Diceros bicornis minor: one gene and its partner. The protein of the gene in region 1 interacts with the protein of each later gene in a pairwise test. Links are inferred from orthologs where the notes say so. Each region holds a gene or a part of one and is shown on either strand. Other genes may lie near its edges.

Evidence for each region. The genes of interacting proteins can lie anywhere in the genome.
Region 2: the proteins of USP54 (region 1) and ATXN1L interact in binary tests that used the Homo sapiens proteins (3 or more experiments, as listed by UniProt). The link is inferred for Diceros bicornis minor from reciprocal best matches to the Homo sapiens genes USP54 and ATXN1L.

The regions. Positions count from the first base shown.
Region 1 is NC_080745.1:32,953,804-32,957,551, reverse strand, and holds the start of USP54 (inactive ubiquitin carboxyl-terminal hydrolase 54), read right to left. Parts: upstream 2,471-3,748; 5' UTR 1,995-2,470; intron 1-1,994.
Region 2 is NC_080771.1:23,515,766-23,519,513, reverse strand, and holds the start of ATXN1L (ataxin-1-like), read left to right. Parts: upstream 1-1,390; 5' UTR 1,391-1,475; intron 1,476-1,525; exon of another isoform or gene 1,526-2,348; intron 2,349-3,398; 5' UTR 3,399-3,466; intron 3,467-3,479; exon of another isoform or gene 3,480-3,748. UniProt on the Homo sapiens protein: Chromatin-binding factor that repress Notch signaling in the absence of Notch intracellular domain by acting as a CBF1 corepressor. Binds to the HEY promoter and might assist, along with NCOR2, RBPJ-mediated repression.

The DNA.
Region 1 (3,748 bases):
AATAAATGTTTGTTGAATGGATAAATGAATGAATTAATCCTTTTTTTCCCCCTACAATGCCTTACACAGTACTCTACACATACCAGGAACTCAGTAAAGCTCATTAATGAATTCATGCAGAAATCTTTTGGACCCAACCACATGAACCTTTATCGTGCCTCAGAAAACCACTTATACTTTAAAGTTTACCTACTAACATTACAAATTAACAGTTTTAGTCTAACATATCAAATAAATAGGTTCAGTGAATAACTACATCAAGGCTAGCTCTAGAAGGATTTAAAATCCATTATTCTAATTAATGAATTTGTGACCCTCAACATGGGAAAATCCAGTTAATAATCAAAAGAGAGGTTATCCCCTGCAAATTTATAGCTACAAAAGATAGTGAAAAAAATTATCAGAGGGCCAGCCCCGTGGCTTAGCGGTTAAGTGCGCGCGCTCCGCTGCTGGCGGCCTGGGTTCGGATCCCGGGCGCGCACCGACGCACCGCTTCTCTGGCCATGCTGAGGCCGAGTCCCACATACAGCAACTAGAAGGATGTGCAGCTACGACATACAACTATCTACTGGGGTTTTGGGGGGATAAAAAAAAAAAATTATCAGAAAGCTTGTATCTATTGATTGAAATCGATAAATTTTTTTTATGTCTGAATTGAAGCCATTGTTTTCACTAGATAAAGAGTTAACAAGCAAAGTGGTCCAAACCTGTCTCTAGAAAACAGTCCTTGAGACTCAGAGATTAAATGTTTTGCCCTCTCCGTGACTGTAACTCCTGGGAGACTCCTTTTATTTCCAGATTGACAGATATTCAAAACTTGTTCTGTCTCCTAAAATAAAACGTCATCCATTTCTTAAAAGGGAAATAACCAAACAGGCACATTTTGGGAACACTAGGTTTTACATTCAAGCAACTAAAACTAACCCTAGTGTTCAGCCTGCTGCTGCTGCAATAGAAACACTTCTCTTAAGTTTTTAAGTTACATCGTGGAAGGTTTAAGTGTTGTACAGCACTTCCTTTCACTGTATCATCTAAACTGATTTTACACTGCATACATAATTTCATAAGTACACCGTAAAGGAATTCTACACTTGAATGAATCTGGGAAGAAACATGATCTTAGCACACACCCCCTTCCTCCAACTCAATACTCTCCAGAGGAAGCACATCTTAGTTTTTTTCCCTCAAGAATTTCTTTCTCCCGCCCCCACCCCACACTTTATTTTAGAGCAGCAATCATTCATTATCCCACTCACAGTCTCTCCACCGAAAAAACCGTCCCAACTAATACTAGTTCACCAGGACCCTCCTTTCAGCTGCTGGGAGGTCCGGGGGAGGAACTGGGGTGTAGTAGGGTTCAAGGGGCAGGGGCCGGAGCGTAGAAGGGTGTGTGTGTTGACAGCAAGCCTCAGAGTCCGTGGGGGATTTCTTTGGTAGGGGCGCGGGGCAGTGAAGGTCTGGGACGCCACCATTCCCGCCACGCCATTTAGGACCCAGTCCTGGCGCGCAGTCCCCGACCAGCCTCAGGCGCACCCCGGTGAGCTGCGAAAATCTGACACCGCGCCCCCCAATCCCCACCAGTGCTAAGCAAATCGGGCCCAATCTCTGTGTTCCCATTCAACATACCCTCCTCCTCGCTGTACCCCACTTTTTCCCACTTATTCCTCGATGTAGCCCGGTCCCTTTAGCCAGTTCTGAGTCCCTGTAATTCTCTTGCTCCCAACACACACACCCTTCTACACTCCGACCCCTGCCCCTCGAGCCCTACTACACCCCAGTCCCTCCCCCTGGACCTCCCAGCAGCTCCAGCCCTCCCCGCGTGCCCTAGTGTAGACTGGCGCCCTTTCCCTATACCCACAGGACCCGGGTCCTTCCCCACGCGTCACAGTTGGACCCATTCCTCCTGCGACCCGACCTTCCCCACCCCCTCCCTAGGCGCTACCCTCTGTACCCCGTTACCTCCGGCCCCGCCCCCTTGAGGGTGTCGCACTCACCTCTCCTGCGGCCGCATCCTTAACCGCCGCGGCTGCTATAGCTACAGGGAGCCAAGGCAACCAGCTCTCGCGACACTTTCCACAGCTACGGCGAGAACGGCCAAGAAGCGCCTCTCGGAAGAGAGTGAATGAGTCAGGCTCGAGACGGCTAACTATATCTCGCGATAGTACATACTGTGTAAAATGGCGGCCGTAAGGCGTCTAAGGGGTGGCCTGGAGAGGTCTGGAGGTGGACGAGGGCGGCGAAAAATCTTGAGCTGGCTGGAGAGCCGGAAGACTATTGTAGGCAAGACAGTCTGGGCTGGGGGAAGTTAGTATGGCGAACCCTACACTGGAATTAAAATTAGGGATGTGGCCTTCTTTTCCCAAGTGCCTCAAACTTAGAGCAGTATCACCCTTAGCAGAAGTTACGTTTTCCTGGCCTTTCCTTCTGCATGCGGAGTAGTTAGAGATGGACCGAGCAAGCCAGAAATTGACCTTCCCGTATCATTACCTTCCTTCAGGAAGTTTTCATCCGTCCTTCCCCTACACTGGGTTTTCAATTGGTACTTGGCTTCATTGAAATGTTTATGTTTATCCACAGGTGCCCCACTCCCATCAGTTCGCCCGACCAAAATAGGAAATAAAAGTAAAAAAAAAAATCAAACGTAAGCACTCGTGTTCGGCCTTGAATGCGGAAGGGGACCGCATTGGTGTGTGATTTGAACTTTGTACTTGTTGCTTGCCGCCCTATGGACACATCCTTACTTAGGGACTTTCTCGACGCTTAGTTGTACGGCTTTCTGTCTCTGCTCTCAAACTGTAAATTCAGACTGAGTAGCATCTGGGACAAAAGGTGAATTGAAAGAACAGAGGGGAACAAATAAGTGAATAGAAATAATAAATGGAGAATTCATTTTCTTCTCTTCCAAGCCTCTGATTAGCTCTCATATTCTAGACCAGTGCTGTCCAGTAGAAATAGGTTGTGAGCCACATTATGCAATTTAAAATTTCTCATAGCCACATTTTTAAAAAGTAAAAAATATGAAATTAATTTTAGTAATGTATTTAACCCAACGTATTCAAAATATTTCGACATGTAATCAATATTTTAAAATTACTGAGATATTTTATATTCTTGTTTTCATACTAAGTCTTCGAAATCCAGTGTTTATATTTACAGAGCATCTGAATTCAGACTAGCCACAATTCAAGAGCTCAATAGCTACATTTGGCTACTGACTACAGTTTTGGACAGCAAAACTCTAGACCCAAGACTAGGGAATGCACTATCTGGGTGACTTTAGGGGCATAGTATTATGGGCATGTGGTTTATGTAAAAGAAACCCTTGAAGTTGCTAATTCAAATGGCTGCAGAGGCTAGGCATGTAACAATAAAAGGTTACTTGGTGTAAAACAATAGGTAGTAGTGGTAACTAGGACCCTCTGGAGAGTACAAGCTCCCATGTTAAAGGGAACTCTCCTGGGCTCCTGAGTTTTAAAACATAATAATGGCAACAGAAGATGTCTATGAGCAGTACAGACAGCTAACTCTGCTGCCAATATGTGGTCTCTGTGAACTGGGGTATTCAAATGTATGAAACATTTTTGAAGAAAAGATGTTTTAACAGAATGGTGTTCAGACAAAGGAATAGCAAAGCTTGAGGGTTTGACTGGATTTCTCGCTGGATCCAGTACAAGTGTTCACCATTGCAATTTCCGATAATAATTTGACTTCCAAGTAGACTTTTCTACTAAGATAATTTCATAGCCAA
Region 2 (3,748 bases), on another chromosome or scaffold:
CCTTTGTGCCCACCCAGGTGAGAAAATAAAATTGAGGTCTCAGTCTTCCTTAGAAAGAATCTTAGAGATCATATACTTTATTTGTATTTTAACTTACTCATTTCAATATTTCTAAGATAATATTCTCATAAAAAATCCAAATAATAACATAAGTCCCTTTTGTTCCTTTTGGCCACCACCCAGTTCCACTTTCCTCTCCTGAGATAAGCAAAGTTAACTAGTTGTTACATATCCTCTACTCCTTTTCTGTACAGATACAGAAATATATGCAACTGTAATGTTATGTCTTTTAATATTAAATACATGATATCTCACTGTGCAAGTTTGCTTATTTTTTCACTTAAAATGTTTAAAGAGCTCTTCTATCTACATTTACTCCCACTCCATCTAGTTCAAGCTCCTCATTTTGCAGAAGTGGAAACCCAATTCTAAAGTAGTAAAATGACTTTCCTAAGGTCAGACAGCTACAAAGTAGGGACCAGAGCCCAGCCAGTACTTTTTAAATCAAATGAAAATCAATTGTTATTTATTGAAAAGAGTTTGTAGAAACAGAAAGCGGAAAAATCCACTCGGAATCCAATCTCTACAAAAGTTAAACCTATTCTTTTTCAGTTTAGTTTTTATTTGTACGCAGAACTACTTTTTTACATAGGTGTAATCAAAGCACAAATTCATCTGGTGTTCATTTTTTTCCACTTAAGTTAATCAGATGTTTATGTTACTACGAAGTCAACTAGTTACTTGGCAATGAATGGTGACCTAATACTTCATTGAGTAGTCAAGCCCTCTTCCACCAAACCAAGCTGCTTCCCACTTTACCCAACCCCTTCCTCTCATTCCTCATAGACTTTCAAGTCTCCCACTACTTGCTTCACCTTCTTCTAAATCCTGGGTCCGGTCCATTCTCATCCCCCTCAGAGCGCCCTCAACTCTTAAAGAGCTCCCATCTCCACCCTGGATGTGCAGGGGCATCTGCTTACTCTCCTGGGCCCGGGTTGCCTCGGGGTTCCCGAGGTTCCCAAGACGATGCTTCACGAGTTGGGCCCGGGAAGTCCAGGAAATGAGGGTCTCTTGATGACCACGCCCCAGGGTTCTATTTGGGAACCCCCGGAATTTACTGGAGTAAAGAGATAACGGGGTCATTGTGGGGTCAGGGTGAGGGGGCCGGGCCCAGCCCTATTCACGTGACCCGGCCCCGAAACAGAAGTTAGTTTTCCCACTAGAGAGGGCGCTGGGGGCGAGGGGCGGTTGGCCAGCCCCCTCCCCTCCCGGGTACTCCTGGGCGTCGCTCTCCGGCCCGGGCCGTGACGCAATCTACCCGCGCCGGGGGCGGGACGCGCTTGACGCCATCTCCGGGCGCCCGGCTGGGGGGCGCTGGGTGTGGGGCGGCTCCGGGGCCGGGGATGGCGGCGGCTGTGGTGTCGGCGGCTCCGGGACGAGCGAGAGGAGCCCGAGGAGCGCCGTGAGATGGGCGGGTGAGTGTCGCCTGGAGTGGGGACCGCCGGCTGCCCTCACTGAGGCCAAGCAGGCCTGGGCTCGGAGCTCCGGAGGAAGTGGCCCCCTGGAGCCCGTTGCTTCTCTGGACCGGGGCCCGACAACTGCGGACCGAGGGAGCGAAAGAGGCCGCGCCTAGACCCCCTTGCGCTTCTCTCCGGTCGGGCCGAGAAGGGAGCCTCAGGCCCTGGCGTCCCCGCCACTGTGTCTCCGCGGGCCGGGGTATCCGAGTCCTCCGGGCGGGAAGAGGCCCCCAAACAAGGAAGCATCCCCTCCGGGGCCTCGCCCCTGCCCCTCTGCTTGAAGGGTCAACCCCCACCCTCTACACGCAGAATTCACAATTTCCGCCCCTACCCTTGTTGGAGCAAGGATTTCGGATCATGGGAAGCCGTAGTCTCTAGTCTCTTCCAAGCTCCTCTCTTTCTGGCGGGCGCAGCTCTCGCCCTCAGCCAATTCGGGTCTCGGGCTGGGTTCAGCCTCTTGATTCCTGGCTCTGCTGGCAGCGTTGGCAGCTCTCTGGAATGGTCCCTCTTCCCCGTTAGTTCGGTTGGAGTCACAGTGCGTCTTCCCATTGAGAAATCCTCAGTGTGCCCCTTCAGAGGCCGAGGTTTCAGATTCCGAAATGTGTTTTGTGTTGTGGGAACCTGGTGCACAGGCTTGGCTCTTTGTTGTCATTCCTGCAGACCTCTTGCCACTTTAAGTCCTTTCATTAGCCTGTGTTTGGCTAACCCCTCAGTGACCTAGAGGCAGGTGTTCTTTAATGTTTTAGATGCAGGGAGCAAGGATCATTCTGGGATTGATGACGTGACCCCAATTTCTGTTGGGAGTGAAGGAGAAAGCTAAGTGCTTTTCAGGTACTGGAATTCAGGCGGAGAAGGGATGCAAGACTTGTACCCAGTGTGTAATTTGTTTATGGAACTAGGAATTTGTCTTTCCATCTTGTTTTCCCATCTCGTCATCTTTTTTTGTGCATCCGCACTTTGCCAATCTTCGGAGATAAATGTTGCCTTCAGTTTGATTTGAGGCTTGCAGTGTTCTATAGGACTTGATCAGCACAGTGGGTAGTTTCTCAGAGTACTGATCAGTACTGCTTTCTCTGTTATCAGAGATTAAGGCTCCATTCTTCAGTGCTTGATGTTTCTGGCATGTGTAGATTCACATATTGATGGTTTAGCGTGAGTTTTCTTCCATTGTTAGCTACCAAAGCTACCAGAGTTCCATTGTTAGCTACTGTTGGGAGGACCAAAGCAATGTTTTCAGTTTCTGTCACACCTGATTCAGTACTTGGTACAAAGTTGTTACTCAGAAAATTTGACACATACACACACACACACGCGAGCCCATTTTATTACTCTGAAAATCTGTTAAGAAGGCTTCCCCCTGAGTGACTCCCCCTTGACCTCTTTTTCTGCCCCAGAAACATAAATAATTGTTCTTTTTCCTCTAGTGCCACTTTTCTCATTTAAATAACCTCCACATCTTTGTTTTCATCGGCCCTGAATAAAAGCGAAATCTGTGAAGTTGATTTTTCCTGTTTCCCATTGTTCACATGGGAACAATGTTGAGTCTTCCACTTTTATTTGTGCATTTACCTGAAATTGGAATCGGAAGTAAATTTAACCTTTGGGGAATAGGTACACTTAGAGAATGAAGAATATGATATAAAGGAAAACAGTGAAGTTTGATACATGGAAAATTTTTTCCAGGGATGTCTTCCTACAAATTAGAGCTTAAGAGATGAATTTTTCTCTATTCAACTGCCTGAGCACTCTGGATATATGTGCTGTTATCTCTGGAGAAGAGGACGAGGCAGAGACTTGTGGGCTTTAATGTCTTTCTTCATGACCCTGGAAAGGATCAGAGGCTAGGCTCCTGCTTATTTTATTCCTATTTCTGTCTTTTAGGCTTCCAAGCCAGGGGGGAGGACACTGCTTCTTATTACAGCTGCTCAGAAGCACCACTGGAAGCTCAGGTAATACAGGTGCTTTGGATACCTTGTTGCAGAAAAACATCTGGGATTCAACAGTGGAAAAATAGAACAGTGTATAGAAATCTCTTTTCAGATTTAAAGAACTGGAGCTTGGTTGGAAGAAACAGGTGACAAAGTTTATATGCATTGGCGTGTTCACACCAAAAAGATACTTTATAACAGTGGACAAAAGTGTGTATGAAAGGTGACAAGAGAAAGGGGAGAGAGAACTTTCTTATGAATCATATAGACCCTAAGATAGAAATAAACAGGCATGTTTGGAGG